2 linked regions of the Mus musculus genome follow. The protein of the gene in region 2 binds, or shares a complex with, the protein of the main gene of each other region. Links are inferred from orthologs where the notes say so. Each region holds a gene or a part of one and is shown on either strand. Other genes may lie near its edges.

Region 1 (3,819 bases), on a different chromosome or scaffold from region 2:
ACAGAAGGAGTGAACTCATTAGGGCAGATGACCAATGAGTTTAGGAAAGAAGAGTCCAGGGCAGGGTACATCTACACCACCCGCCCAGCCCTGGGTGAGTCCAGCCACGTTCACCTCATTATAGTTGCCTCTCTCCAGTCCTACCTTGACGGGAAGCACAAGCAGAAACTGGGACAGGAGCCCCAGGAGACCAAATCTTCATGGTCCCTCTGGGAGGATGGGTGGGGAGAGCTGTGGCAGAGGCCTCAGGAGGGGCCCTGCTGCTCAGTGGTGACAGATAGGGGTGAGAAAGCAGACAGAGTCATTCCGTCAGCATTCTGGGTCTGTTTGGTACTTCTTCTCACGATAAGGTGGCGGTGTGATATGCACAATGGCTAAAAAGCAGGGAGAGCTGGAAAGAAACAAGGACAGAGACAGAGGCCAAGTCAACCAGACCAATTCCCAGAGGAAGCAAAGAAACCATTACAGAGACTACAAGGGGGAAGGGAAGGAGAGATGAATTAGCTTCCCCTGTAAACCTTAGAACCCAGCTGTTGCCAGGGCAACGGGGCAATACCTGTCTCTTCAGAGGAGATGAAGTTGCCAGGGTAACTACATCCTGTCTTTCTCAAGGACCATCCCAGAATGTGGCACCCACTAGCCGTTACCATAGCAACTGCCTCTTTGCCCCACTTAATCCCATCCCGTCTGTTAAAAGGGCCCTATAGTTGGAGGTGGGGGAGGTAGGAAGAGCGATGATCACTTGTGGACTAAGTTTGTTCGCATCCCCTTCTCCAACCCCCTCAGTACATCACCCTGGGGGAACAGGGTCCACTTGCTCCTGGGCCCACACAGTCCTGCAGTATTGTGTATATAAGGCCAGGGCAAAGAGGAGCAGGTTTTAAAGTGAAAGGCAGGCAGGTGTTGGGGAGGCAGTTACCGGGGCAACGGGAACAGGGCGTTTCGGAGGTGGTTGCCATGGGGACCTGGATGCTGACGAAGGCTCGCGAGGCTGTGAGCAGCCACAGTGCCCTGCTCAGAAGCCCCAAGCTCGTCAGTCAAGCCGGTTCTCCGTTTGCACTCAGGAGCACGGGCAGGCGAGTGGCCCCTAGTTCTGGGGGCAGCGCTTCAGCATCCCAGCCCTAGTTCCCAGCCTAAAGCCTCGCCTGCCTGCCCAGTGCCAGGATGGCTACCATCACCTGCACCCGATTCACAGAAGAGTACCAGCTCTTTGAGGAACTGGGAAAGTGAGTCACACCTCAGGGAGTCCTAGAGAGCATGGGGATCAGTCTCCTTGGGCAGGGGGAGGGGGCGTGTGCCTATGTGGCCAGAGCTGTCCCGTGCATGCAGAGGGAGGTGTGCAGCATGATTTGGAAGCACTGTGTATGCATAGGGTGTCCAGAGTTAGGCGCTGACACATTTATGAGTCCAGTCAGCCTGGTGTGTGTGTGTGTGTGTGTGTGTGTGATGGAAAGGAAACAGATTGGTGGTGTATGCACACACCTATGCATATAAATACACATGACCTGGGTTCACAAAGATATCTAGAAACTTGGGGTTTGAAAGGGATTTTCCCACTTGGCTGGATCTGAGCTGGAATCTATTTTTGTAGTTGTACTTAGAAACCTCCAATGACAAAGAAAGTTTGCCACCCCCTGACCTGGAGATCTTGTCTTTAGACACTGTGCAGAGTGGCTAGCTTTCTCCTAGCACATCCCCTCCGGCTTCCCCAGATACCTTCCGGGAGCAACAGCTTCAGTACAGAAGGAGTTAATATAAAGCAATCACAGTGTTGGGAGGAGGGGAAGGACAGTCAGCCAGCCGGGGGGTGCCACTGTGGCACTGACTATACAAAACAACTGTGGTCCTTTGGCAAAGTTGCCCATCGTGTTATATCTCAGGAGGCTGAGAGGAGAAAGGTTCCCTCCAGAAGAGCAGCAGGCTACAGATATAAGAGAAGGTTTCTAGATGTTCCCAGCTAGGTTATGGGGTCCTGGGTTGGATCAGGAGTTGGGGGAGCAGTTTGGCAGAGTGCCCCACGGATGCATACGTGCTCCTACCAGTCCTGTTTGGTTCCTGCTGTAGCGCAGTAACATGAGACAAGGGGCCCTGTGAGCAGATGTGTCAGTGTGAGCTCCTGCAGGTACACAGATATTGAGGAGAGACTATATATGAAATCTGTGTGTGTGGGGGGGAACAAATGGAGTTGTGTAAGAACTGACACTGGGCACACTGCAAACTGAAAGGGCAAACACTGGTGCAAGTAAAACAAGAAGAGATGTGTGTGTCATTTGCATGGCAAGCCCGCCCCCCTCCAAAAAATGTTCATGCGCCCTGCAAGGGTGCATGTGTGCAATTATGCAAGGGTTGTTCTTGGCTAGGTGATGTTGCAGCAAGGGTATGGACATGCATCTGTGTGCACATGTGTGGCAGGTCAGAGATGGATACTCTCAGTGAATGTGTGTGTGTGTGTGTGTGTGTGTGTGTGTGTGTGTGTGTGTGCGTGCGCGCGCGCGCATGTGTAAGGTCACAGATGTGAAATGTGAACAGAATGTTCTTGAGTGTGCATGTATCTTGGGGACTATGTAAAGGAAGCTGTGTGTGTGTGTGTGTGTGTGTGTGTGTGTGCGCGCGCGCGCATGTGTAAGGTCACAGATGTGAAATGTGAACAGAATGTTCTTGAGTGTGCATGTATCTTGGGGACTATGTAAAGGAAGCTGTGTGTGTGTGTGTGTGTGTGTGTGTGTGTGTGTGGCCTAGGCTCATGGGCTCATGTGGGTGTGTGGGTGTTGTAGGCATGTGTGAGCTTATGCTGGTGTCTGCATATGTGTGGGAGGTGGACCTATGGCTGTGTATAAGCACAGCCCCTGAACACACTCACACAGAGAGAGAGAGAGAGAGAGACAGAGACAGAGACAGAGAGACAGAGAGAGAGACAGATGGAGAGACAGAGAGGGATAGAGAGACAGAGACAGCTCCCTTGTGCAAATGTGTATTCATATTTGTCTACAGACTTTCTGCTGTTCTGCGTGTCTTTGCGTTGGAGGCAGGGGTAGGGGCAGGAATGTAGTTTTTAGGGTGGCTCAGGAGAACTGTCTTTTAAAGTTTATCTGGGACCCCTTTCCAGAGCATGTCTAGTGTTCCCTTGGAACCTAAGGATTTCTTGAATAGTCAGGAGCTGCCTTTCAGGGGCCACTGAGGCTGGTTCAGGCAAGACTGCGTCACAGAGCGCAGTGGAAGGAATTAAGATGGGACTTCAGGGATCACAGTGACAGTAAACTGCTCTTTTGCCCTGAGAAGAAATGGGGATCATTAGAACTAGGCTCTGTGGGCTGACTTTGCCTTCTCAGCCCCCCCCCCCCGCCTTCTTGGATACTCAGAGGTGTCAGAGAAGGGGCAGAGGAAAACTGAGGGTGGCAGGGACGCCTGGGTCTTGTTCAATCAATTACAGATCTCCTCCTTCCAGAACTATTGGTGCTTTTAACCTTTTTTTAGGTCACTTATTCCTCCAGGATTCAGATGAAAGTCTAAATAGATATTCCCTAGAAAAACGTATAAGCCTACAAAATGTTGCTTGCAGTGTCAGAGCTTGTGGGACCTCAGGAAACAGTGCACCAACCTGTGCTTGAAGATGCTTGGGTGAAGGAGAAGGGGCTGTGGTGGGCCGGCTTCTGTCTGGTGTGTCCGTGTGACACAGGCCAGGGTACCCTATGAAGGATGAGCCCTGTGGCTTTTGCTCTGCACCTTAGCCTTGGCCTGAGCATCTGGTGGGGTAGGGAGGGGCTGCCCTACATGACCCTTAGCTCTGTGACACTGGGCAGGCTGCCACTCTTTCTGACC
Region 2 (3,818 bases):
GGAGAGGATGTGTCTAATCCTGCAGAGACTTGAGGCCTCAGAGAAGGGGAATTCCTGGGTAGAGAGTGGTGCACCTTCTCAGAGGCAGAGGGGAGGGCGAGTGGGAAGAAGAATTGTGGGAGGGGGCAACATCTGGAATGTAGATAAATAATTAATTAAAAAATAGCATAAAAAGCATCTTCAGATTTGGGTGCTATTAGACTTTGTTCTAATTCGGTCCTCTCCTTTACTCTTCTTCCCTAAGTGTTCCCTTTCACTTCTTGTCACGTGTGCTGTTGCTTTCTCTTTCCTCCTCCCTTAAGATCTCTTCCTTCTTCTCACGATTTCATAGTCTTCTATTGGCCTATAGAATTCTATTGGCCTATATCAAGGGATTGTCTATCATATTGACTGTACTATGCTTGGGGCTAGTAGCACATTTGAGCCAGTGGCCACTTCCAGCATGCCTGTTTTTCCAGAGTATGTGAATTCATTTGCTAATAATGCTGAGTTATACATACTTATAATTATATATATATATATATATATATTAGGGATGGTCAAACACAAATTTTCACTTTCAAGCTTTTAGTTCCCACTGTGACTTCCCATAGCCTCTTCCCACTGGCCTTGCATGGATGCCAGGCCCTGGAAGTTGGTTTTGATGCCCTCCAAAGTCCCAGGTGAGCCCACATGCTTACCTGCATATTCTGTGTTCTGTGCAACTCACATGCCAAACACAATTCCAACATAAAGCAGATTCCACTTTGTCAAAATTGCTGACAACGAACATTTGGGAACCCAGAAGGGGAAATTCTCAACACACCTGTTACCCCACAAAGAGTTATGGACGGCATCTTTAGCTGTTGCCTGCAAGGACCCCACTTTCATCCGGGTGTTAGAGGATGCCGAGGAAGCTTGGGAGGGCGAGTAGTCTGAGTAGGTGCCTGAGGAGACACTGTTATTCAGACAGTGAGTTTTGTCAACTTCAGACTCATCAGTTGATTCTGAAATTTAAAGGGGAAACATGTTACAATGCTACGAACACTGACGGATACAAAAGATGTATGAAAAGCAGATTCCATATGGATTAATGTCAGAAGCACACGTGTGCGAGTACTTATAGACTATGGCATGTCATAATGTATAAGTGGCGATTTATCATGCACATGCATCGGGCACAGTTCCACATCGGCTTCACGATGTTACCTTTTTTGTCCTTCCCTAGCAGAACAAGTTTGGGTGGGTACAGAGGGGTCTCAGCTAATGAAGGGTGAAGTTCCCCAATCCTCATTTCATTAGCTGGATGAACAAAAGAATCCTGAGAGATATAATAATACAGGACAAGGAAAGTAAACATTTAAATAACGGTTAACCAAGATGGCAATATCTTATTTGGCTCAGACTCAAAGATGCGGCCCTAGACTTTAATTCACCACGGGGCATTGCAAAATAACCTCTGTGTCTGTAATTGAGCACTAATTATTTTTCTAATTTATATGAGCCCATTTATTCATTAGATGTGTTTTTGGATGCAATTTGTATGCCTGGCACTGTGCAAAGAACTGTGGAGGTTTCCCAGAAAGATACAACATGGTCCTCTGGGAATTTCCAATCTAATTGAGATGGAACAGAACTCATTTCAACACGGCATTGAATTATGCTGCGCCCTCCACAGGCAGTGTGGCTCAGTCATAGATATTGGATGTGAGAATTCTAGAGGCCGAACTCCCATGAGTTCCAAGTAGGAAGGGCATTGCTGACCAGTAGGATCTTTGTTCTACCCCATTACAATATCCCAGTAGTCCTGCACCCCTGCACTCCTGCAGCCCTTGCCTCTGCTTTTCAATCCCTGCTGTGTCTCAGGTGGCTGTCGGCAGTCACTGTGTGTCTGCTGTTTCTCCTTCCTGGGTTGTTAGCATTCTCATGGCCATTTTCAACCTATTTAATCTTCATTGCATATTGAATGTTGAATGTGATAAATGGCAGTGGTGCAAGAATATGACTTTATAAAAAATGAACAATATAAAAGTTCCAGAAGCTTTGAAATCCCCCCTCTTGATTTATTTCATTTTATGTGTTAGTGGTTTGCCTGCATGTACATAAATGCACTATTTGTATACAATTCCTGTGGAGGCCAGAAGAGGGCATTAGATTTCCTGGAACTGGAGTTTAACACTGTGGGTGCTGATGAACTTGGGTCCTCTGCAAAAGCAACCAGAGTTCTCAGCCATTGAGTTGTCTCATCAGTGTATAAATTCCATGAGTTTTAATTTCTAGAATTCAGATCATTTCCAATTAAACAGGTATCAGGAGAACATTAAGAAAGCTAAAATTTAAATCTCCACTTTCTATACACACAGCTGTGTCTTTTAACTTCTTTATGATAATTTGAATTCAAAGAACATTCAAGGTTTTGTTTGTGTGTTTGTTTGTTTGTGTGTGTTTGTTAATTTGGAGCACTGAACCAACACAAGTAGAGATGTTTTCTTGAATTGGAGAAGGATACACTTAGATAAAGTAGGAATTTGGAAAGATTTGTCTAGTGTTTGGTTGGTGTAATAAATGGGCAGAAACACTCAAAGGAACAGGCTATAGGTTTCTGGTCTTTCAGAAAAAACACATCCATTTCTTTAATTCTTGACTGAAACTTTTTTGTTTGAACTTGTTTTTGACAGTGTATGAGAATATTTTCTTATGAAAAACCAACATCTGACTGATACTAATCAATTTTAAAAGAATTATATTTCAAGATGAAGATGATCCTATCAATTAGTTCAACTCTTTCCCTGGACCTGGGGCACAGAAAAACACTTAAGAAAGACTCAGCGGTTCTCAATGTGGTCCTCTTGGGTTCCCACACAGCTAGTCCCCACTCCAGAGTGAGGCTCCCAATGAGACCCCCTGTATCAGGGACCTAAAGCAAATGATCTGATTCAAAAGAGATCCTAGGAGAAAAAGGGTGATGAAAAGCCTAGGGCTGAAGAGAGAAATATGAATTTCCATGGAATTTCTAAGTTCAGCACAACAAATGCACAGTAAAATTTTAAGTTGGTATAATAAAGAGTAAAAGCATGTGTATGACTTGGGAGGAATTAATAAGAAGATGCAAGCTGGAGAAGCACTTCTGTGCAAGGACCAAGACATGCTGGCCTGTCAATCACAGGGTACTGTTTCTCTGTCCTGTTTCTGCCTCATCACTTATTAATCAGGCACCTTGGGCAAGGTGAAGCATTCTCAGACCTGCATCCAACACATTCATCAGATGAAGGTGGTAGGTAATAGAATTAGTGCTAATGTCTGTCTAGTCTATGAAGGTAAAGGTAACTTATTTGTATGAAACAACTTGGGAAGGAGGCATTTTTAGATGACACCTAATACAAATCAAAGAGTTTCTTCTTTTAATAAATAGCAAAATGAAAATAAAATGAGATACAAGAACAAAATCAAGCAGTCATATCAACACAGACTGTTGACATTACTTCTTTTACCTCATGTTCTACAATTCAGTATTTAACATATTTTGCTCCTATGCGTCAGTTTTTAAAATTTGTGACCAGGGCTCTGCATGGCCCAACTAGGATATGAGTTTCTGACCCTGTTCAAAGCTGAGGAAAGCAAAGTTTCGAGGCTGCCTCCATGGTTGTAAAGCAATCAACTTTTCTAAATGGTTCATCAGAAGAAGTTCATCTAAATCTGTCTCTGGTTGAGAATGAAGTAGAGGGAGGAAAGGTGAAATGTCCTTTCTCTCTTAGTTCCACCACCCTTCCTTTATTTAAATAGAATCTTGGCTCTTAGTAACATGGAGAAAGAGAGTCCCAAGGTAAGAGTCTAGAAGA

Evidence for each region.
Region 1: the proteins of Lrrc7 (region 2) and Camk2a are in contact, whole or in part, in a crystal structure (PDB 6X5G), measured with the Homo sapiens proteins. The link is inferred for Mus musculus from reciprocal best matches to the Homo sapiens genes LRRC7 and CAMK2A. Residues at the interface, in NP_001357714.1 of Homo sapiens: His843, Gly844, Arg845, Arg846, Pro847, Leu848, Ile849, Arg850, Gln851, Asp852, Arg853, Ile854, Val855; in NP_001350919.1 of Homo sapiens: Glu96, Phe98, Glu99, Ile101, Val102, Lys137, Glu139, Leu159, Phe173, Ala174, Gly175, Thr176, Pro177, Gly178, Tyr179, Leu180, Ile205, Gly209, Tyr210, Pro211, Pro212, Phe213, Trp214, Tyr222, Gln224, Pro233, Glu236.

The regions. Positions count from the first base shown.
Region 1 is NC_000084.6:60,924,615-60,928,433, forward strand, and holds the start of Camk2a (calcium/calmodulin-dependent protein kinase type II subunit alpha), read left to right. Parts: upstream 1-1,017; 5' UTR 1,018-1,164; coding exon 1,165-1,226; intron 1,227-3,819. UniProt on the Homo sapiens protein: Calcium/calmodulin-dependent protein kinase that functions autonomously after Ca(2+)/calmodulin-binding and autophosphorylation, and is involved in various processes, such as synaptic plasticity, neurotransmitter release and long-term potentiation.
Region 2 is NC_000069.6:158,163,087-158,166,904, forward strand, and holds part of Lrrc7 (leucine-rich repeat-containing protein 7), read right to left. Parts: intron 1,301-3,818; coding exon 1,189-1,300; intron 987-1,188; coding exon 806-986; intron 1-805.